Kluyveromyces lactis: one gene and its partner. The protein of the gene in region 1 purifies or fractionates together with the protein of each later gene. This does not show direct contact. Links are inferred from orthologs where the notes say so. Each region holds a gene or a part of one and is shown on either strand. Other genes may lie near its edges.

Region 1 (12,098 bases):
TGAACAAACCTGTTGTTCAGGAGGAAACGCTGCTGTTTGATTTGGGTTAAAGAAAAAAGATTGCGATGGTGATAGGACGGTATTGCTCCTTGTTGTTACTGCTGGCTTCACTACAAACCCTAGTTTTTGAAGGATATCGGTTGCTTGCACAAAATCAACTCCGTTGTGAAATCCTAGTTGAAATCTTTTCATCACAATAGTATTATCATCTTTCTTTATGAGATATTTGCACGATATTGACGGTGCTTTAGCTGAAAATTGAAAAGGTTCATGATTAAACCCGGCAAAGGTACTCTTCAACGCAAAGAAATCTATTACTTCTAAATCCTGTAAGTACGGCTGTGTCACTACTCTCATAAGGAGTTTATTTGGGCTCGTATTCGAAAACATTAAGTTGATCCTACCATCTGAAGATACGTGATTCCATTTATCTACCAATGTTGGCGTCTTTCCGCTATCGAATCCACTTGGTGCTGCTTCTAAAGTGGTGTAGTAAGAATATTTTCTAATGGGAATACTAAATTCTGCCATTTTCCTTGTTCTGTATTTTAACCGCCGAAGGTCCTTTGTATCAATAATACATCCAAAGTAATGTTCCACAGATATTATTTTTACAGAGAAAGAAGAATAATAAATGATTGTTCAGGAGTCAGTTTTAGGGTTTTGGTAAATCCTGGGTACTTACTCTCTGATGTGTATGTCGTCAGTTGTTCTTTCGTGAACATGGGTCACTGAACTTATTAGAGGAAGTAATCTTAAAAAATGAACCGGTGTTTTGTTGTTGTTTTTTTTTTAATGATTTCCAGGAACTTGAAGTTTGACAGAAACTGACGAACAGTTAATTCCTGTAATCCAAATAAACAAGCCAACTGCAGATCAAGTTCCCATTTCACATTCAGCTATTTTGTGCACTATCAATAGAATCAGTTTCTGCCACGCCATACCTCATTGATATAAAATCGAAGCTTACATTTAGAGAAAGAAGGATGGTGTATTTCTATACTTCACAGCAGGTTGACGGTATGAGTCCGCATTGGATCATTACAGGAAAGGATAAGTTTGAAAACGACTTATTGATAAAGTACGGGTACAGGGAGTTACGATACCAATGGTTTCATGCCGATAAGTACTCCAGTGGGCACATTTATTTGAAGTTAAAACCTGATGAGAAGACACTGCAGGATGTACCTCGAGAAGTACTTCAGGACTGTTTGCAATTGTGTAAGTCAGAATCCATTCAGGGAAACAAGCTGCCGCAGTGTACTATTTTATCCACGCCATGGCATAATCTGCGGAAAAGCGGGTACATGAAGCCTGGTGAAGTTTCCTATAAGTCAACGAAAGCTGTTCGTAAAATGGACTGTTTTGCTAGAGATAATACGATATTGAATAGATTACAGAAGACAAGAATTGAAATTATTGACGAAATAGAATCGCTTTTGCATGAGGCAAAGAAATCAAAAGATCCAGATTTCTTTGCTAGATATATTGAAATCAACAGAGAGAGGCTAATACAAGAGGAAACTCAGAGGAAAGCCTTGAAGAAACAGAAAAAGAAGCTAAAGAAAAAAGATGAAGGACAATTATTTGAGTATGAAAACATTGAGGTGTTGTGAAATAGTTTTTAAGATAAGCCAACCGCAGCCCACCCTTGATAGGTACATTGCCTATTTAGTATACCTTTCACAACTGACACATGGAAGAACATATTTACGTATCACGTGACCACATGATTTCTTTTTCCAATATTGAAAATTTTATTGAAACGATGCGATGAGATGATCAAACACTACATAGTAAGGAATCTATAAGTAAGTTATGTACCAGTATTGATCTATTGGCAAAAGTTGCTGGCCTTGATTGAATCAGTGACAAACTGTACTTCAATAGAACAATTCCAGGATGTCCAAGAGAACTGCTTCCGATGAAGGACTAGAAAACGTCGATGATCGAATTGTCCATTCTAAGACAGAGGCTGGTGAAGTACCATCGGCCAATGCAGTGAATGCCAATGAGCAAGATGTTGAAATGGGTGAATTCGAGGACCCTTATGGTGATGATTTCGAGAGTGATGGCGAAATCATCGAAATTGACGATGAAGAAGATAATGAAGAAGAATTAGATGGAAACATTGAGAACGATGAGTTTCTGGAAAAGAAGCAACAACAAGCTCAAGAGCTAGTCGAAAAGGATCAAAATGCTGAACAAGAGCAAAGTGAACAATTGTGGTTGCCACATTTATCTAAGCCTTTGGGTCCTGATGAAGTTTTGGAAGCTGATCCTACAGTCTACGAAATGTTACATACAGTTAACGTTCCTTGGCCATGTATGACGCTTGACGTTATTCCAGACACACTAGGATCCGGCCGCAGAAATTATCCACAATCTCTTTTGATGGCAACAGCAACACAAGCTTCTAAAAAGAACCAAAACGAATTGATGGTTTTGAAGATGTCCCAATTGGCTAAAACTTTAGTAAAGGAAGACGAAGATGAGAACGAAGGTGAAGATGAGGATGAGGATGGCACGGACCCTGTCATTGAGAATGAAAACATTTCCCTTAAGGACACTACCAATAGATTGAAAGTGTCTCCTTTTGCCAATGCAGCTCAAGAGGTATTGTGTAGCACTATGTCTGAAAATGGGGAAGTATATATTTTTGATCTGGCTTCTCAGGTGAAAGCCTTTGAGACTCCTGGATACCAAATCCCAAAGCAAGCCAAAAGACCCATCCATACTGTAAGAAATCATGGGAGTGTCGAAGGTTACGCTAATGATTGGTCTCCAATTATAAAAACTGGTGCAATGCTATCGGGTGATTGCTCTGGCCAAGTCTTCTTAACTCAAAGACATACTTCCAAGTGGATTACTGATAAACAAGCCTTTACGGTTGCTAATAATAAATCTATCGAAGACTTGCAATGGTCTCGTACAGAATCGACTGTATTCGCTTCGTGTGGTATTGACGGATATATCAGAATTTGGGACACTCGTTCTAAAAAACACAAGCCAGCCATTTCGGTTAAGGCGTCAAATACAGATGTAAATGTTATAAGTTGGAGTGAGAAGATTGGATACCTACTTGCTAGTGGTGATGATGACGGTACTTGGGGTGTATGGGATTTAAGACAGTTTACTCCACAAAATGCATCCACTGCCTCCCCAGTGGCACAGTATCAATTCCACAAAGGTGCAATTACTTCAATTAGTTTCAATCCACTCGATGAATCTATAATTGCTGTCGCATCCGAAGACAACACCGTTACTCTATGGGATTTGTCTGTTGAAGCTGATGATGAAGAAATTAAGCAACAAGCTGCTGAAACTAAAGAATTACAACAAATTCCTCCCCAATTGTTATTCGTACATTGGCAAAAGGAAGTTAAGGATGTAAAATGGCATAAACAAATTCCTGGCTGTTTGGTAAGTACAGGAACTGATGGGTTAAACGTCTGGAAAACCATCAGTGTGTAATAAACTCCGTTTTTATTATTATTATTTACAAATTAAATCCTCTTAATCTTTACTCGCTCGCATGTAAGTTAATAAAACAGATAAAATGGACAAATTTTCTCCTCTCGACTACATTTGGAGTTGATGTGACTCATCGTTTAGAACACTTCATTTATTCTTTTAGTTACTGTTGTATGTCTTTATTCACAATTTGGTAATAGCTTAAATAGTAGTCGAAATCAAAGATACGAAAAAACATCATGATCTACAGTTTTCATTCTTTATGTTGAAGGATAAACAGGACATGAAGGTAAGGGGCAATTGAGGCTAAACAGAAGACTTATAGACGATGATGCTCCCAGTAAAACCACCGCAATCATTTCAACTTCCCGGACGTTGTATAGAGGGTATCGATGAGGATATCATTCAAACAATTGAGGCACCTAATTCAAACCACTTCCTTTTTATTACAAAGACAAGACTTTTTGTTTACCAAGCCAAACCCTTTGCTCCATTAGCATGTCACGAACGTACTGCTGAGTCTATTGAACTGTTTGGTGTCAATTTTGGTATTAGAGATAATTTACCTCTTGGCACTGAGGTAAAGGGTTTCCTTACAGGCCAATTTTGCGATCCAGTAATAGATGATAAGCGGTTCTACTATGTTATAACCAAGAACAACTTTCTGTTGGTTTACGAATTATACACCAAAACATCTGAAAATAGCGTGTTCAAAGAATATGGCATACCGTTAAACTTGCCGTCAGATGATTCTTTACTTCATAGAGCTCTTGATGATGATATGGATGATGAGGTATTGACAGTTTTTTCTGCTAAGGAAAATCATAAGGTTATACAGAACGGTTATACAATCTCCAAACAAAAAGGCTTCTTGCAGTTTATGAAAAATGATGATATAGCTGAAGAGTTACCGATTCGCAGGACGGAATTGAAATTAAACGTGGTGCTAAAATTTGACCATCAAATTTTCGATGTTATTGGTATAATTACGCATGATATAGAGCGTACTGAGCATGCTAATCAATACCTCTTGGTACTTTTTGAACATGGGCTGCAAGTATTGAAGCTTGAGGACTTCAAGCTAATTGACAATAAGCTAATACATGTAATTAACGGTAAAAAGCTAATTTACTGTGCTGGTGAAATTTTAGTGTTATCTTACGATGAGCAGCAACTATCTCTAGAGCATATCCTTTTCGATCAGGAAAATGTGAAATCTCAAAATATAGCATTGAAGGGCCCATCCGGTGTTTTTAAAGATTTAGTAATGTTTGACCATTTGCTTGTAGTTGCGTTTGAGAAATGTACCATTTACTACGACGTCTTTGATAAGATTTTAGTCAGTGAATATCCGGCCATAACACACGTTTCTTGCATTTCAGCCATTTCTCCCGATACTATGGTATTGTTGACCGAAAACAACTCAGTTATCTTTATGAGTAAGTGGGGAAATATATTATTATCAATCCCAATCGATGAGAGCCAATTCAAAATCCTGCATTGCTCGCTTATAGATACCAAGCTATTAATAAGTGGATCGAATGGTACTCTACAGCTTTGGGATCTTTGGAAAAAGTTAGACAGTTCTCTCTCCAATTTCAGAACAAGTCAAGTCTTCACTTTACTCAATGATAACAATGATATACTACTTTACTCTCCTATGAGTGATTCCACAAATACGAGCACTTTTCAAACAATTAAGTTACCGACTAAAACAGTTAACAACAACATTAGTACCTGTAAGACAAATGGGATTTTGACGTTAATGGCAGTGTATGTAGGTAACAAAGATATTTTGCTCATCAATTTCTTGAACTCCAACACATGGATAAGTTTTGACCAAATGAATATCAAGAATATCGATTGGCTTGGGGACGACTATTTGCTATGCCATGTCACAGATGAGGATTCTGATAAAGAAATGGTAAAGTGCTACCATTTCCCATTACTGAATGATGGATCGACGAATCTTGAAGATTTCAAGACTTGGGAATGGGAGGTACCTCAAGGCTACCAGTTGGATAATTTCTATGCGAACACTTTGTCGACATACAAGATGTTAAAATTCACTGATGAAAGGGAGGACAGAGATGATGCCAGCAAAAAGGTGTTTGTTACATCGGAGATACTGATGGTTCTTTCGAATTCGCATATGATCATATTCGATGCACTAAGTTCGGTACATCCAACTGGAGTTAACATGGTTCAGAAATTTCATCAGTATGCAGAGTATAATTTCCCAGAAAATTCCTTACGCGGTTTAAAATGGATATACAGATATAAAGAAGGGTTTATTGCATGGATTCGAGATCAATTGGTAATTATTGGCCAACAAGAGGATAAGCAATGGCGATTCCAAGTAGCATACGATCGGGTGGAACAGATCTTGGAGATATATGAGGACAATCTTGTACTACTTAGTGGCAACGAAGTATTATTATACGATTTTGCTCACATATGGACCGTCGATGATCCCCTAATCACTACACCGGTCATCGAAGAAGAGTATCCGATTTCAATTTCATTAGATACAGCAACGCTGCATAATATTTCATGCATTACAACACAAAAGTTAACGAAACTCTCAATATCACACGGTGTGTACTTAGATAAGATTGTGGACCGGAACTTGACACTAGGCGTGGAAGGCGATAAAATTGATGAGAAGTATCATGATTTGAAGCACTACAAATTTTGTTTGGAAAAAATTCTATCCAGTAAAGTATTGGAACATGAGGACTTGAACTCCATATTATCATTAATCGATACCTATGATAAAAATTCAGGCGGGATTAAGAATGAAGTTGGTAAACTTGAAATCGTAGGGAATTGTTTAAGAAAGATCGAAACAAAACATTGGGACTACTTATTTGAGAATCTAAAACTAACTCCAAGAGATCTTATCACCAAGTGCATTGCTCTATCTGAAGCGAAGATCTTGGGTACGCTTTTGATGGTATTCTTAAACTATGACGAGGGCGATAGTGAATCTAAACAGGAAGAGGTCACGACAAAGTCCACAAAACGAAAGAACAAGAACAACAAGAACAAGAACAACAAAAACAAGAACAAGAACAAGAACAAGGAAAAGAGCCATACAAACGGACTCAAGGAATCTGATAGTAGAGAGACTTCTCCAGATACTAGTGTATCCACCATCCTAAAAGACGAAACAGTCATAGGTCAAGTCCTCAAGATATTCGTATCCACTGCCACTCTTTCAACTACAAAAGAGCAAGCACAAGAGTATTGGGATTTCGCTCTACAACTAATTCGATTCTTAAGAGCACTAGACAGTAAGGGAAATACTACACTAGCACAGACTTGTCTGGACATGATCTAATTAATACTGGGAAATACCTTTTTTCTAACCGCACTTGTCACGTGATACTCGGCCAATCACAAGGACTGCATCGTCAAAGACGATTACATTCAAACCCCATATAAAATATGTATGCTCACACTATTCAAATCAAACATCTCGTGCCATAATAAGAAGATGATGCGTTTTCTTGCTGAATGGAAAAGTGTTACCATCATATACTGCGATTTTTTCGCAATTAACCAGGTATTTTACAGTTACGCTTTTAATTGAACGAAGCATATGTACTCCTTTCTCTGGTACTACACAGCTGTATACTAGGGTAGATGTAATATTCAATTGACCCCTTTTACGCTGGATATATACTAGTAATATTACTATTAAAGTCTATGTCTGCGGAGTATCTGTTTGTGCTACCTCTTCTTAATGTTACGATATTTCATCTTTTTTTTTTTTTTCATTCCTAATGAAATTTTCGAATGATATTTTCATAGTTTTTCTTGAAGCCGAAAAAAAGATTTTGATTATTCTAACTTTCTATTTAGTTTAACTGATTAGTTTTTAGAATTAAAATAAAGAAGTTTAAGAACTATTCTTTTCAATTCTTGTTGTTATTTTTGTTTTGAGTTTTAGTTTTAGATTAGTTTGAGATTTGTTTGTTCATTCTTATTCAAAGATATTTTAGTTTTGTATTGATTTTGTTCAGGTTAATTAAGATCACTCTTTGTTCAAACATCATCACCGATAAACCCTATTACAATGGCTGAAAATCAAGAATCTCCATTACACACCGTTGGTTTCGACGCTAGATTCCCAAACCAAAACCAAACAAAGCACTGCTGGCAATCGTACGTGGATTACCACAAGTGTATCAATGCTAAGGGTGAAGACTTCGCTCCATGCAAGGTTTTCTGGAAGACCTACTCCTCTCTATGTCCAGTTGACTGGGTTGAAAAGTGGGATGAACAAAGATCCCAGGGTATCTTTGCTGGTGACATTAACCCATAAACTGGTTGGAAATATGTGATATAATGCGATGAAAAAAGAGGCAGTTAATTAGTGAAGAACTAGTTTAGGAAAACTAAAAACAAAAAAAGATGATATTCATTTGGAGCAAGATGTGACAACAGATACTGAAATTATCTGTTATGATTCGTACTTAACGTATCTTCCTCTTTTATTATTTTCATTCACTTTCCTCGAACAATGGCTTCACTGTTTTCTGTCCCATCGATTTTTCATTCATTTTCTTTTTAAAACAATATATTTATTATCCCATTCACATCCGTCCTCCGTTTCCCCTTTCGATGTTATTGTCACTTTGTAACGTTTTCCACTCAATATAAGTTTCAGCGTCTTGGATCATCATTCCAGACCTTAGTGTGGAAATTAAGTAACATTGATGGAGATCCGGAAATCCCAGTACAAGTTTCACTTTTATTAAAACAATACTCTCATAAAAAAAATTTACAAAGAAAGATCAATTTAGAACACAGTTTAAACTTTGTTACGTACCCACACATCAAAACAGTGATGAAAATACATTCTAATATCATTCAGGAGCCAAATACATATATTTACTTATATTATTTTTTTTTTAAAATCCAAGTCCTATTATATTTCAGTACTGTTCTACATCCAGATACCGTTACAACGGATACGCCATTCTTCGAGCTCCATTAACCTGTAGCTAGAAAAGCACGAATCATGTTTCGTTGTGTTTGGCATTACAGAGAATTTGACAAATCTCGGAAACTAATAATTTGATACTGAAGACATGAGCATGCTATGGCAGTAGATGATGCTCATCAAATGTATATACCTGATAGTCTTGACTAACAATCGTGTCGGGGCAAATGGCGCAGTTGGTAGCGCGCTTCCCTTGCAAGGAAGAGGTCATCGGTTCGACTCCGGTTTTGTCCACTTATTTTTTTTCCAATCCAAAACCTGACAGTAGCATGGGTACGCAAGGTGGAATTTAAGAGAGGGATAGTCCATCATACAGAGTGTCGTTTGCTCAATCAAATATTTACAGCACTATATCTTAAGATGCCGCTACTGCTGAAATAATAGGGCCTCCAATGATTTAAAATTTGGTAAAACATACTGTCTGCTGTTTAATTGTACTACATCAGTGACTGCATCAGATTCTTGTAATATAACCTCTGAATGGTGTAACACTTTCCTCAGAGATAAATCATCTTCTGATAACTCCTTTTTGCAAACATCAGGAGTTGTTATGTCGAAGTAACCGAATGAGTTTGATCTATCTACAAGAATTCCATTTACTCCAGCTTGGAAAGCTCCTCCCAGATCCGTTTTCTCCTCATCACCAACATGCCAGACGTGTGGCCGAATATTTTCCAAGTTCTCACGTTGACCACTAGTGTTGTGGCGTTTCAACATATGAGAGACCGCGTAATTAAACATAGCCGGGTCGGGTTTTTTTATCTCAAGATCATAAGACAGATAGATATTTCCGTCGAAATATTTCTTAAGATCTAAATTCTCTAACAACGTAAGGACAATGGGGTCAGTATTACTGACGATCCCCAAAGAAACCTCAGGATGGTTCCTCCTCATTGTCTCCAAAAATTCCCTGACGTCTGGGTATACCGTATAGGCAGCATCGCCCTCGAACCTTTCTAAGATTTCTTCTACCATTTCATTTGGTATCTGTATTGGTTCAAACATATCCCTAATTAGATACTCCCACCATTGTTCAGCCGTGATACCAGAATTTTTACCATATAAAGGATACTTTTTACGGATATTACTGAAAACCCCTGGAAATCTCTTAGTGAGTTCTTGTGGATTACCATTAATCCCGTACTTGGCACCCACTATACAATACTGTTCCATTACAGGTTTTTTGATGGAATAAAGAGTATTATATGCATCAAACGTTATGATTTTTGGCCGCGAGTGCTGCAAACTGCCATTTTTGAGTACCTCTCTAGGAATTCTTACCGGTACCATATTTCCCCGGTTAGATTAACGTTACTTGACTTCAATCTACTACTCTGAAATCGAGAGCTTTTCTATGTTTTATTTCTTTTAATGGTTCAACTTGGTATACATTTTTCAGAAAAAGCTTGGTCGAATGTACTCTGAAGTTCATCAACTTAGATCTGACATATAAATACAGAAAGCAGATATACAATAAAAAGATGCCTTAAAAAGGAGTAGAGATTCTGCCCAGGGATAAATATTGTAAAGTCGCTGTATGAATAATAGGTTTCATTGTTGGCTGTTTGAAAATAGCACTTCAACAAACCGTGTTATTGATAATCCTGTCTCGGCGGTTAAACAGCTGATAGAGAATTCGATAGACGCCAATTGTACTAAAGTGCTGATCAAAATAGATGAATCTAGCGGCGGATGTAGGTACATCCAATTGAATGATGATGGTAACGGAATAAGTGTCCAGAAGCGCAGCAGCGTTTTTGTTAAACACTTCAAAACTGACGGTAAATCATGCAAAAGAATAGGGTACAAAGGAAGAGCGTTATATAATATTGGCAAAACAGCATCGAAGAAGGGATCTATCGAGGTGATAACACGGACTATTTCAGAGAATGTTGCTGTTAAATGGTCACCACCTAGAATCAGAATAAATGAAACTATTAGATTTTCCAAGGTAGTGAATCCACCGGGTACGACAGTTATTCTCAGAGACCTAATGACGGGAAGTAAAAGCAGTAGACTGGCAAAGAAAGATAAAAATTATATTAAAATGATTAGGGATATGCTTTTTCATTTTTCTTTGATTCATAAGCATATATGTTTTAGTTGCCAGCTTGTCAATCCTCTAAGGGACGGAAGTATCAAGACTTTAGAATATGTTGCGCGGTTTGGTAAATATGAAGACCGGATGTCGCAATTCAAAAAACATGTTACCAAACAGAATCTTATAGTTGAGTTCGAACACTTTGATGAGATAGAGCTAAGTGAATCTCTAAAAGTTAATATCATATTGCCCAAAATTCGAACACATGGCAGAGTGACAGAATTGATGCCGAATCTTAAATATCCTTGCATTAATGGAGAAGCAGTAATGGTACAATCAGGCTTTGGTAAAAAAGTCAATCATTTTTTCAAGGAATTTTATAAGCATTTCGGGAAACCAGAACCGAGGGCATGGTTCATTCAATTTTTATGCCACCATACTAGCGACAATGCTGTAGTCAATGGCGAAAATAAAGCTGTCGCACTTACACTGGAAAAAGCTCTATCTATTTTGCAATGTTCACTGCTCACCTTCTACGCTCCACACATGCAGTATAATGATCCTTCAAATTCTACCCATATTGATAGTGAATCAGTGATTTTCACTCGTAGAATAATTAATACAAGTGACATTCCAAAGCAAATTCACCGGCAAATAACCAATAACCCTACTCAACAAATTCTCGAGAAGGAATCTGAATGGTTGACAGACATGTATAGCGGCACGCTATCCGATGGTAGATCTTCACCAGTAAGGGAAAACCTTCTATATTCTGACATTGTGAACACCGAGGATTGCTGCATTGAGCGAGATCTTGAAGACGTAGAGCTATCCAGAAATACGACTCTTTCAAATCCATTTATTCTTTCTCGGATCCGTGCCAGGAACACTACAGAGATAGTTGACGATCAAATTAAAAGTTCGGGCATACTAGAAACATACTATCAGAGGCAGACGCAATCTTCTGAGTTTTTTCAAGAACCAACAAGCAAGAGAAGAAGAATTTTGGAAAATGATCCAGAATATGACCATTCAACAACCCTTGTTGATATTGAGCATACAGCAACCAACAGCTCTACTAAAAACCTCGACTTACAGTTTGAACATACTTTCAATCTCGGATGTCGCAAAGCTGTCGGCCGAAGCGTTCCATGGAAGCTTCGTTTCTTGAAAAATGCCTATAAGAAGGAATTGGTCTGGTTCCACAGGAGCGGCATGCCCTCATTACCTTTATTGGATGGAATACAAACGCTAATGGAAGGCGAAGATAGTGATGTAGATTTACAGCTAATTCTTATGCCAACAGGTTGGTTTATGATAGCCCTATAGTTCACCACTTTGAAGGATCAAATGAGTTTTAAGATGGTTATTTATTATACAATGAAATCAAATTTCAATCCAACAACGCACGATTCTTAGCTGCGCAGAAGGCGTCTGACACTTCTAAAGCTTCATATGTACCTTGTAGACTGGTCACAACTCTGTACTCGTAAGTATAGATATCGGAAACTTTGTGTGTTTCAACAATTTGTTGCTTTCTGCCCTTTTTGGTGCCAGAGTTTTCAGTACGGA
Region 2 (12,734 bases), about 1.0 Mb from region 1:
ATGACAGGTTTCACACATACACTAGACGAAATGGAGTTGATGCTTCTGTCGTTTACCAGTCGCCATCCTCAATTGTGCATAAAAACATTGGATTTTCAATTTTCAACTTTCGTTCAACCAAAAAATAAAGTTCAAAAACGAACAAGTAGAACCCATTGAAAAACCTTAGCGCAATAATCGTGTACAAAAGGAAACGGTTTCAAAATTTCAAAATATGCAGTATCGTATTTTTTCCCCAACAATCTTCATTTTCTCAAAAACTGATATTAAGATAAAATCTTCTGAGAAACAATTGGTTGAAAAGTAATAATAGAGGAGTAAGGCGGTTCCAGTAATTCTTTGTTTCCAATGTCAATCTCAACTTGTCAAAAAATAAACTCCAAAGAGGTTTTCATTATTAGTAATAGTTTAGTTTAGTTTATACATACATCTTTTCACGGACAAAAAAGTCTCTTTAAACTTTATAACCTCAAAATTAAAATCGTGAAGGGTAAAAAAATAGTATTACTAGGCAAATGCGTTCAATACAATTGACGCAATATCCAGATATTAATTGTCAGAGGGCTGATGACCTTTTAGTAATAGTTGTACTCAAAAAGGGACAGATTTAATTGTGTGAAACTCCTATTGTCAATATTAACAGGAAATCAGAATGAATATGATAGGATGAACAAATAAATATTCTCAATACAAGTTGTTGTTGTTGTTTGTTGTGTATATTGAGTAATTCAGTTTCAAACTAAAATTATTCCTTGGATATCTTTAAAATATCTTATCTCTTCTAGTTAGCCCTTTCTCTTGATGAGTTTCCACAGAGTACTGATCAATTGAAAGTGAGTCAAGAGGTTTCAGAAAGACAGAAAATACAATGTATAAAAACCTAAGAAGATTTAGAGAATTGATATAATTTAAATTCACGAAGTTTATTTAAACCCCTTTGCTTGAAAAAAATAGCAGGAAAACCTCTTCTTTATAAAAAGCCGCCGAGTGCATTTCACTTCATCTAGACAAAATTTCAACTAAACTAACAAAACAAACAAAAAGATGAGAAGAGAAAAAAAAAAAAAACTTGGTTCTATCCATTCTACATCCCAGTCTAGGCATTTCATCCAAACGATGTGGTGATTTCACCATACTTGAAATTTCATAGCACTATTTTTTTTTTGGGAAAGAAAAAGTTTGAAAACTTGTTGGGATCGTTGTTGGATTTTTGTTTTTCTGTAGAACATTTCATAAAGATCCCATAAGTTCATACTATCCGTGGTCGTTCAAGATGATTCATGTACCAACAATTTGGTACACGTCACGTTGACAGCAACGGTATGCAACAGAATTTAGGATAAGAAGTGTGTTATATCTGGGCAGATAATAGCAATTAACCGCAATGCGCTTGGTTTTAGACTGAAAGAACGTTTGGCGTTTTAAGGGAACAAATCTTTGAATGAAGGAAATGGAGTAGTTGTATTCGGTTGATATACAGCGGTTATTTATGTGAAAGCTGCAACGATTGGATTTTAGAATAGATTAGCGATAGATGAGGGTTTGAGATCACGTGACTTGCGGTTTCTTGTGGTTTGCGACTACAAGACGTCAGAAAAAAAAAAGCGGAAATAGTATAAACTGACTGACATGAGAGAAAGATAGTTAAGTTATAGACAAATTGTTACAACGGTATAGAAAAAAGCGTTAAGCATACAAGGGGTGAGCAGCTGTTGGAATGAAAATTTAGATTGATAGAAATCATTTCGCATTTTGTATTCCAGCTTCCTTAATTTTCTTCAATAGGAACTCGTCGTAACCGACTCTCATTTGGTTCACCTTCTTCAACTCGCAGTGGTGCAACTTCGTATCCTCTTTCTTAGTATTGTATAGATCAAATCCAAGCGTCACTGAGACTTCGGAGTCAATCTCCTCTAATATTCTGATCCATTTGTGTCGCAACAACACTTTTTCGGACTCGAACAAATCAAATTGGACTCTAGCACTACGTTCTGCCATTTTTTGTTTGTATTTCAATCACTGGGTGAAACTTTTCGTCATAAAGCGGGTTAACAGCTTGTGTTTTATCGTGTAATCACAGTGTAACAAATCATCAGAGAATGAAAATTGATGATTCTCTAAATTATTCATCGGAGTTTTTCTGAGGGGCAGACTGACATATGTTCCAGCGTCCTTTTCATGTAAAACTGCACTCTTTATATTAAATTTATGTTTATTCAAAAGTGTGAAGCCTTGAAATGCGTTAGTGCATGTATGCTACCTTAGTATCTGAAATGCTTTCACAAATTATCCCAGGCGATTTTAAAAAAAAACATTAGCGACAGTACATTGATATGAAAGGTTTATACGGATCCCTTTATATATATATACTGGTTTGAAAATGTATAATTTCAGAAAAGTCGTTTCCTAACAAATCCCCAATTTTCCTTTGTATTCTTTGTACGAATTTAAGGGCAATGCGCTCCTTTTTACAGATTTCTATCAATCTGCGTAGGTAAAGTTTCATCCAAAGATACCTCAGTTGATATCTGTTTGGAAACCCAGTGATAACTTTTGCAATGTCGTGTGAAATAACATTGTCTCATGGCGGGCGTCAGTTTTAAATATTTTTTTTGTCGCTAGAAATGCTAAATGAAATGACAAATTTTTTTCTCTCTGTTTACCCTTCGCTGCGCTCAAAACAGAGGTCAGCTACATCTGCAGAACGGTTCCGGTTACATGAATCATCATTTTGTACGATTCGTTGATTTTACCTTGAATGGTCTTGAAATCACAGAGTCTCTTGTGAAGCAAGAAGAAACAAGAGGAAGAAAAAAAAAACCGTAGTTCTTGAAATATTTTGAAATTTTGAAAAATTAGTGAAATATAATTTTACAATCGAAAAGTGTTTAAAGTAGTAGTATGATACGTTGAATCACCCTCGAAGGTTTGAGTTGTAGATACTAAGACAAAGACATCTTTTCCGTATTGGTATTTTGCTAGGTTACCATTGCATTTCAGTCTATCAAGGCAATACTCCGATAAATACAGGGCTTCATTATTGTCGAATACGGACCGGGTCTAATCTCTTCCTGATTTTTCATCCTTTGACCGATACCATATAAACTAAGGCTAATAATAATAATAATAAAGTATAGCTATGTCTTGGCTCTTCGGTGGTAAGAAGTCATCTACAGACTCACAAGAAAATACTACACCAGTTGAACAAAATGATGATAAACTGAAACAAACTCTAGGATTCGATCCATCATCAATTTCGAATGTGTCGAACGTTATTTCTGTTCCAGGAGGATTAAGTCCATCACAGCTTCACCCATTAGCAGGGCTAGAGCGTGGTGTTGAGTATATGGATTTGGAAGAAGAACAGCTTTCTTCAATGGAAGGTTCTCAAGGTTTGATTCCATCTAGAGGTTGGACAGACGATTTATGTTACGGTACTGGTGCTGTATACTTGGTTGGTTTAGGTCTTGGTGGTTCTTATGGGTTCATTGAAGGGTTGAAGAACATCCCACCTAACTCACCAGGTAAATTGCAATTGAATACAGTATTAAACCATATCACAAGAAGAGGTCCATTTTTGGGTAACAATGCTGGTGTGTTGGCCTTAACTTACAACTTGATCAACTCAGTGATCGATTCTTTCAGAGGTAAGCATGATGTTGCTGGCTCAGTGGCAGCTGGTGCTTTAACTGGTGCTATTTTCAGATCTTCTAGAGGATTGAAACCAATGGGTTACGCATCCGCTTTGATGGCTGCTGCTGCTGCAGGATGGTGCGGTATCAAGTCTGTAATCTTATAAGTTGAAAGAAAGAAAAGGATAAACCTGTGGATATATAAACACACGATAAACTTTTTTTTTCGTTTCCTTTCATTCTACACTACTATTACATTGGGTCTTAGAAATGGTTTGCATGAGGATCCTGTTTCAAATGTGAAATATGCCCCTAATGTCTCGTATTTACTGACCGCCCATTTCATCCAATTTTATCTTACGTTTGCATGTTGAATTCCCCTTTCGTATAATGTACAATATGATGACAATTTTAGCAAATTCATGCTATGTTCCACCACAGCACCATTCTCGCCATGCATGTTTTCCTACTCCATTACCATTTTCTACACCATTCTTGAGACTGTCGATATCTGAAATCAAGCATCAAAGAGTGAGCTAGAAATAAAGCAGCAGCTTGTTTAGAGATACATGGTCTTGTATATATTTTAATAAAGTCATCTTTCGTCAATATTTTTCTTTTCTATTATCTGCCTCTCCAGGCGGGCCTTGCTGGTACTCTAGCAATTATAACAAATTATAACAGCATTTGTGACGAACTTACAACGAAATGGTCTAACGAAGGAAGACACTTCATCACTAGTTTGCTCATAAATTAATATCATGTGAATAAAAGGGCATGTGTCTTCCTGAAACGAAACGAAACGAAACGAAACGATTTCTTGCTCTAAAACGAAAACAAAGTGTATATTATGTATGTCAATATATTAAGAATTGTTACTCACTTTTTTTAGGAACTTACTCAATCGTGGTTTAAGTATCTTTCTATCATGTGTTACTAGATTAATCATCTCGCCACTTGGCGGTTTCACTCGACTTGTAGCTTGCTTTAACTGATCCATGAATTTTATCTCATCAATCATCGGGTAAACTGCGTAAGCAAATTCATCATCCTCTTGATTGTTTCCTGTATAGAGAACCTTATTTGGAGTTCTTGGTCTTACAGCAATAGCTCTCTTCTTGAAAACACCTCTCGTAGCAGTCTTACTCAATATCTTTCTCACTTCAGCAGGGTCTGCACCTTGATCCAAATAGATGGCAGCTGCACCTGCTACTATTGGAGATGCCATTGATGTTCCACTCAATACAAAAGTGCCCCGGCCTTTATTGGAAAGGGATTTCACGTTGACACCAGGAGCCCATATATCAATACAAGCGCCCCAGTTTGAGAATGGTGCCATTAGATCGGTTCTATCGTCCATTGCAGCCACAGTAATTGCTTTCCTGACCTTAGCAGGACTGTACCAACATGCGTTCAATCCACTGTTTCCTCCAGCAACAACAACCACGACACCCTCTTCGATTACTGCTGAAACAGCTTTATCTAAAATCGAATGGGTTCCTGGTGCACCGAGACTCATGTTTATGACACATTTTCTCTTCTTTCCGATGCATTGGTTCACGACATATTCCAATCCTTCGATGATATTTGTGACAGTGCCTTTTCCCATGGAATCTAGGACCTTCACTTCAACAATATTAACTTTCTTGGCCACTCCATAAGTCTTGGAACCGATTAAACCTGCAACATGGGTACCATGTCCTACGAGATCTCCGGAGCCTTCTCCAGTAGTATCAATACCTTTCATAGCCCTTCCTTCGAAATCGGGATGGTCATGATTAACTCCACTATCAAGTACATAAACGAAAACCCCTTCACCCTGGTGTTCTTCATGGTAATGGTATTTCAATCCAGATGAGGTATCATCTTTCTCGATGACTGGTAACTGTGCTCTTCGAGAAATTCTTGCTAGATGTCTTGGAGCTCGAGATTGTGAGATGAAGTCATCGCTAAAATCGGTATCTCCATTGTCTGTATCCTCGTCGTAATTATCATCATCTTCATAAGTATCACTCCCCTCATCTTCTTCTGCCTCTTCCTCATCTTCAGTTTCGAAGTCATATTGATCATTGTTTAATCCTGAAGCGATTTGTGGGAACTCATCGAACAAACTAATCTTCACATTAGCCACAACATCACTTATAAATGGTACATCTTTCAACTTATCCGCTAGAACAGGAGGAATATCAACAGAAATGGCATTGAACTTACCGAATGAGAATTCTCTGTGGATCTTCGATTCTATCAATTCCTTGACACTGGACCCGCCGATTTTAAAGTTGAAAACATACCTTAAAGCTCTTGGAGTCTTCAAGCTAACAAGGTATTCAGTACATATGACAGGATAAACAAAATGAAGCCAAATAACAAAAAGAGTCAAGATACCTCGCATTCTGACTGTTGAATATTTTCTCTGCTGGTAGTTAACTATCTTGCAATCTTATCTCTTTCTGCAAATATTGTTGACAAGACTAGGGATGGAGGTTAGTTGCCTTAATACACATTTTTTCTACTAAATCCATTTTCAGTTATTGTGGTAAATTGTACGATTTAAGAACTCGGAACCCTGTCATTGTCTAACGAATAGTGTGTCGAACCAGGGACATGATTAAAGTCGCATACTTTTTAAGTGTTCACATTATTATTTTGTGTCGCGCGTCAGATAATATCCGAAGAGTCGAAGAGTCGAACAAAACGATCCATGAAAAAAATAAAAAAAAATGACGTATCAGTGTTCGCTTATTAACTAGTTGAAAAAAATCTTCAATAGTCTAATATGCGTTCATTTTACAAGTATTTCAGTAGAGACTCAAGCTAGTATACATATCGGTTACGTCAAAACAGAGTGATGTACAAAACTCTGCTGGCCATATTCAAAGCAAAGGCTTTCCACATATTAAGCTCTTTTTCTTAAGAGTAGAAACCTGAAAAATAGTATTTCGGCGATTTCTCAAAATGGTAATCACTCTCCCTTGTATTAAAAGGTCAGGCTAATGAACGCAACACTGCACTAATTGCAATGGATATTATCCGAACGATCCGATGCCTTAGGTCCAAAACTGAAGCTTTTCGAAGATCCTGTAACTCTATTGGATGAATCTGGTAGGTTCCAGCTGTTAGGGTTAGTCGATGCATATTCTCTGCTCTTCCTTTTTTTTTAAACATGTGTGACTGACCAATCATATCACAGGAAACTTTGTGTCAAGGAAATGTGGAGCCACAACCGTGGCAAATTCCGACCGGCTTCTTCTCAGGTAACAACTACTAAAACCACTATCTCCGTATGCACGCGCAAATCCTTCTGAGTAGGACAGTTCGTTCGGCTGGTCCCACTTAGGTATTAGCTTCGCTAAAGTATGGATTGATTTTGAACATCAGTGTAATGAACATAGTCACTTTCTAATTGACGGAGTTATTTTCAGACAAAAACTTGTCTGACCTTTGGAAGAAATTTCAATCGAATGGTTCATTGATACGTTGATAGCAATGAACAGGTTACGCTGAGCCTGTTCATGGGCTGGCAACAAGAACGAGAGATATAGGGTTTGGCTAACTGCCAAAATTACGTAACATCAGTAGCAGTGCCTCATGGACAATCATAAATCCTAAATCGTATACGATATTGCAGGAAAAAGAAATAAAGGAACAAAGAATATTTATCATACGGGAAGGAAAAAAGTAAAAAAGTAAAATCGAACCAAAATTAAAGTATAATTGGAACAAAGGCAGGGAGGGAATTTAAAAGTATCGTATATAAGGAAGAGCATTCTCTCGGTTTATTCGTTTACAGAATCATTTCAAATTATATATATATATATCGTTTGACAGTTAAAATTTGTTAATGCTTATCCTCTTGGCTAAAATAAATATCGGGATATATTAGGATTTTGTTCCAGTATTAATTCGATATTTATCACCTTATTTAAACTAAGGGAATCAAAAGTTAGCTTAAGAGATAAGTAACTGAAAGACGAAAAAACCAGCACAGCAAGATGAAGATTTTAACAAGAGAAGAAATTGATGCTCATCGTCACTACACCCTGATGGGTGGTGTTAAAGGTGCAGCTGCAGGTCTGTTAATTTCTGCAGCTATGTTCAGGTTTTTACCCCATCGTTATCCTAAATTCAATCCAAAGGCTATGACATGGTCTGTCAAGACTGCTTTATTCATCACGCCTCCAACTCTTTTGGCTTCTATTGTCGCTGAAGAATCTTCTAACAGTTTTGATAAGAAAATGTATGGTGACTCTTCGTCCAGTGATATTCTTGCTGAACATAACAGATGGAAGAACCTGCCTATGAGCGAAAAATTGGTCGAAGGTTTGTCCAACAATAAGTACAAGATCATTGTTGGTGCATGGGCTGCTTCCTTGTATGGATCCTGGAAATTGGTTGATAGGGACTTATACATGACCAAAGCCCAAAAGGCTGTGCAGGCAAGAATGTATGCTCAAGGTATAACTGTGATTTTGTTACTAGCCTCAATTGGTTTATCTATGTACGAGGAAAAGCTACATCCAGATCAAAAGAAGGAGGCTAGAGACCGTCGTTGGCAAGCGGCTTTGGAGCATGCTGAGAAGGAAGAAGAGATGGCTGCAACCGCTGGTTACAGAAGTAACGAAGACAGAGTTAAGGCCAAGATTTTTAAATATGATTGAATTTTTGAAGAATTCAATCTAGCTGAGGTGAAATACGATATTGCCTTCACACTACAAGGCGTACAATTCTATTTTCACCCTCATCACATCCTTCTTGTGAATAATTTTGACCCATATACTATTAACTGTTTTTTTTTTACAGCACTGCCTTGTACGAAATGAAATGAAGCAGATCTAACGTACCAAATCTACCTTTCATGGTGAGTTATTTTGTCTCACATTATTCTATGTCATGACAAGTTAATAAAAGAAGATCTATTTTTTATCATTGATTATTGTAACAGTTTCATTGCATCGTGGCGCAACCATCCACGAGATCAAAAATGCGGGCGTGCTGCCTTACCTGTTATGGTTGTTTTTTAATGTCAGCTTATTTCAATTTTTTTTCAATAGAGACGGCTGGTACGGCTTTCATAACATTATACCACTACTTTTTTGAACCAATCAAGAACCTTCATAAATTATCAAAAATGCGGACCAAAATTGCTTGTAATCTTTTCATTTCTAATAGAGCAACTTGCTCACTCAATGCAGCTTTGTTTTAGATAGAGCGTACAAATCCTTTCTTATGCTTATCCTTTCTCATGATTTTCCTTTCTTATTGGATGCACTTGATGAGGTATAAGGACTAGCATAATCCGCCTTTTTATTTTACAGATTATACAATTATATATCCACCCGACATGCTAATGATACAAATAACTTTACCTAGAGAAGCTGGACCTGCATAGAGTACCTTGCATTATGGTTCAACTCTGGAGCTCTTTCAACTTTGAATCTTCCTTGTCTTTGGGTTTGCATTGATATCGAGCATTACTTACTATATGTTTGAATTGCTTCTATGTACATGTTTCATTTTATGAAAATTCAGCAAGTGTTTGATAGTGTGAATGTGCTCATTTCTTCTTTCTCATACTTGCTTCCAAATCTCCGACATCCAATCTGGTGTTTCTGATGTAATAATGTTTACTTCTGCGTCTCTTACCATCCGCTCTTCTAATCAAATCAATTCTCTCTACCAATGGTGAGAAGATTGGCACTCTCATTTCCACACAGGTTTTATAAATATAATCTCTTAATAGAATGGATGTGTCTTGTACTATTGGCTTACGGTCTACCGATAGCACATATCCAGTAAAACTATCGTAGTTGCATTTCTTGGAATCGTAAACTACACGAAGAACATCACCTGCACGTAGACGATTTGGGTTTTTCTTTGAAACCATCTCTGTTTTTACACCAGTTGGGTCAAGTTGTTTTAGATCATGATCAGCTAGAGTCTTCACTACTAATGGGGAGGATATTCTTTCAACTGGTGGGTAAACTGGAATAATCTTTCTTCCACTCTTAGCTGGAAGTTGATAACTTCTAACAGATTGTCTGATAACGGTAGGTAGTAGTCTCTTTAACATTGTATGGGACTAATATAGTTTTGGAATGGGAACTTGATCTGACGGGTAGTAAAGGCTTAAACTCAAATATAAACTGCGCTTCAGTGCTTTCTTAACTCTTAGGTACTTATGTTTCCATCTTTTTTAACCAAAATTTTCGAATGTTCTTTCTATGGAAAACTACAACATAGGTTTGATGATCATTTTAAACGTTTTGATCATGGCAGATGCAATAGACACGGAAAATGGTGAATGAATGATAACGTTTCAGTCCATGTTTGCTGATTGTATTAAGTGCGTATCTACTAATTCTATATATGCAAGACCATACTAAAACCTAGGTCTTCTCTTTCTACCCGTAAACTTCGAGTCGAGAGCTACCTTTCTACCTCTTTTTTTCATCACCTCCTTCTTTCTGTTGATGTAATCCTTACTTGATTCAACTAGTTTCTTTTTACGCTCTCTCTTTACCATTAGATCTGCATCCATCTTAACACCATCCAAGTTGACTTGTTCATTCTGTTCTGTAGATCCGGAGCTTAATACCAAGTAGTACTTCTTGTTCTTTTTGGACTCGGGATCATCAATGACAAGGCCACCAGAGAATCCAGCTACTTTTGCTGCTCCCAAGATTTGGTCTATTTGATCATCATTCTTTGGATAGAATTGTGCTACAAATTTTCCTCCTTTCTTCAAACTAGCAAATAGTGTATTGAAGAACCTCATGAGCCTTCTCTTTGGATCGTTGTACGATGTGTCCGCATTACATAACCATTGAATCACAGATATACTAATTGCCGCATCAAATACACCTGCTCTAAATGGAATACCTTGACCTATATCGTGTAACATAAGATCACCTTCAACTTCTCTTTCTAGCGCTTCAGCTAACATACTAGGAGAAATGTCTAATCCACACCATATATGTCCTTCTTCAGTGATGATTTCACCACTTAAACCAGACCCACACCCAATATCCAAGATATATGATGTATGTGGCAGGTTGAGAAGTTCTAAGGCCCGAAGTGTCATTTTAGCTTGAATATGTTGCACTCTTGTGGAGCCACTATACTTCTTAGATTCACTGTCATTGTAAAACACTTCTGGTGGTGCCAAATCTTCTGGACGTGACATTTCGATCTCAAACTTCTTGTAATTGTTATCCTATTATACTTTATTCCCGTCAGTTGATTAACAGAGCATATCAATGCAAACAGCTTGCTCAAGTAGCCATTGTTAGTTCGTAAATGTTTGGCGATGACCGAGATGAGCTTTAAAATTTTGAATCAAACGTTCGGAAAAGAAACTTGGTTGTAGTAAAGAATGTGGTCACGTGCAATAGGGAACGTATCAAGCTAGTAGATATAAGATTACAAGTCCTTACTATCACATTCAGTATAGCGCCTAATGCTCTTTTACTGTTGTATTGATCAGTATAATCGGCTAAGTTTTGGAATATTTCGCATTATGTGGCATATTTGTTAAATTACCGTTGTTTGCGTAAATATACATAAGGGATGATCGATAATTTGAATGTTAAGATAAAGTGAAGTTATGGTAAACTGAGAATGTTAAATAACAACATCAGAAGCGCATTGGAAGCTGTAGTTTTGCAAGTGTACGAACTATTAGAATAACGAGCGAGTTCTGCTTTTTTTTTAACAGACATTTTTGGAAGTTTCGATCTTCATAGGAAGTAATGCAGGGAGATAACGCAGAAACGCAACAAAACTCACAGAGATCATTCCCAATGGGATTTGGTGTAGATAAAGCGATGCAAAACCCAGCTGTTGTGAATTCACCATGGTTTAAAAAAGCGTATGACAATGCGTTGGAATTTTACGAGAAGGACAAAGTATTGGATCCTAAGGATCGATTGGAACTATCTAAGACCTATCTTTCAGTAGCAAGGGCCCAATTATGGTCTGGGTGGGGTGCATTTGCAATAGTTACTGGTATTCCTTTCGTTAATCAATACATGAAAACTGGAGCTATAAAAGGGACAAAAGTTACTAGAGCTTTTGCTCTAGGATTCTTATCTATGTTTATTGGCACACAAGCTGGTGGCTCCTTGGCGTACAAATCTAAACTTAAGGCTGCTAAACCAGACATACTGGAAGATGATCCGCATTTGCCAAAAAGTAGTCGACAGAAGCAGTACGAAATTCTAAAGCTATTAAACATGGGAATGCCTACCAGATGGGCGAACTATTATTACATGACATATAAGAATCCAGAAAGAAGAATTCCTGATCCCAGACTTGTAATGGACAAATTGAAGGAAGGCAATTCTGGCGTGAGAAACTCCTCAGTTTTATTCGACAACAAGGACCCAATGGGGCTATATACAGGACCTCAATACGATAAGAAGGAAGGTGTGCCAAAGACTGGTGTCTCTCAAACTACCCCACCTTCTCAGGTGACTCCGAGGGATGATTATGATCCATTCAATGACACAGAGACACAGGAACCCACTCTGTCATCGTGGGACAAAATTAGAAAGGAGAACACCGCTGTAGACACAAAGAATGGTAAATCATGGGAAGAAATTAGAAAACATGATTATGATAACAGCGATACCAATTATAAATAATGAAGTTCGCAGAAATCTTATCAGGATTATCCTGCATCACGCAGAACAAAGGAGAGTACTTGTAAAAAGAGATAAATTTTCAAACATCATACATGACAACAGAACAAATCACACTTAACAGAAGGCTTGATTGCTCCGGTAGAGCTATATTCCATCTATGACAACGAATTAAAAAGGTCCATCATTCATATTATTTCCGATGATAATTAGTGAAATTTATATTAGTTTATATCTAACAATATACATGAGTTAAGAGACAGAAAAGATAGTTAGCTTAAATATACGACTTGCATGGTAAGGGAGTTAAAACGACGAGATAGTGTTGACAAACTATAACTGTTGAAAGGTTAATAAATTAGAATTTCTGTTGACAAATATATGATCGGTTTGGATATTCCTTTAAGCCAAGACATTATCAGCTCTCTTTTCTTCCTTCAACTTGGACAATTGGTTAATGACA

The links.
Region 2: the proteins of COX12 (region 1) and RCF2 purify together in Saccharomyces cerevisiae (affinity purification with mass spectrometry; 3 studies listed by BioGRID, with this or other methods). This does not show direct contact. The link is inferred for Kluyveromyces lactis from reciprocal best matches to the Saccharomyces cerevisiae genes COX12 and RCF2.

Annotation. Positions count from the first base shown.
Region 1 is NC_006042.1:1,575,295-1,587,392, forward strand, and holds COX12 (cytochrome c oxidase subunit VIb), read left to right. Parts: upstream 1-7,555; coding exon 7,556-7,804; downstream 7,805-12,098. Other genes in the region: REC114 (Rec114p), read right to left, coding at 1-531; JLP2 (Jlp2p), read left to right, coding at 987-1,616; ribosome biosynthesis protein RRB1, read left to right, coding at 1,903-3,474; RIC1 (Ric1p), read left to right, coding at 3,803-6,817; DPI35 (Dpi35p), read right to left, coding at 8,852-9,775; mismatch repair protein MLH2, read left to right, coding at 10,023-11,855; POM152 (Pom152p), read right to left, coding at 11,920-12,098. UniProt on the Saccharomyces cerevisiae protein: Component of the cytochrome c oxidase, the last enzyme in the mitochondrial electron transport chain which drives oxidative phosphorylation.
Region 2 is NC_006042.1:569,977-582,710, reverse strand, and holds RCF2 (Rcf2p), read left to right. Parts: upstream 1-7,624; coding exon 7,625-8,290; downstream 8,291-12,734. Other genes in the region: KLLA0_F06061g (uncharacterized protein), read right to left, coding at 1,741-1,998; protein transporter TIM23, read left to right, coding at 3,140-3,799; RRT12 (Rrt12p), read right to left, coding at 4,498-6,024; IMG1 (mitochondrial 54S ribosomal protein bL19m), read right to left, coding at 9,187-9,702; BUD23 (18S rRNA (guanine1575-N7)-methyltransferase), read right to left, coding at 10,012-10,815; RCI37 (Rci37p), read left to right, coding at 11,381-12,274; threonine--tRNA ligase THS1, read right to left, coding at 12,674-12,734. UniProt on the Saccharomyces cerevisiae protein: Assembly factor that plays a role in the assembly of the respiratory chain supercomplexes (SCs) composed of ubiquinol-cytochrome c oxidoreductase (cytochrome b-c1 complex, complex III, CIII) and cytochrome c oxidase (complex IV, CIV).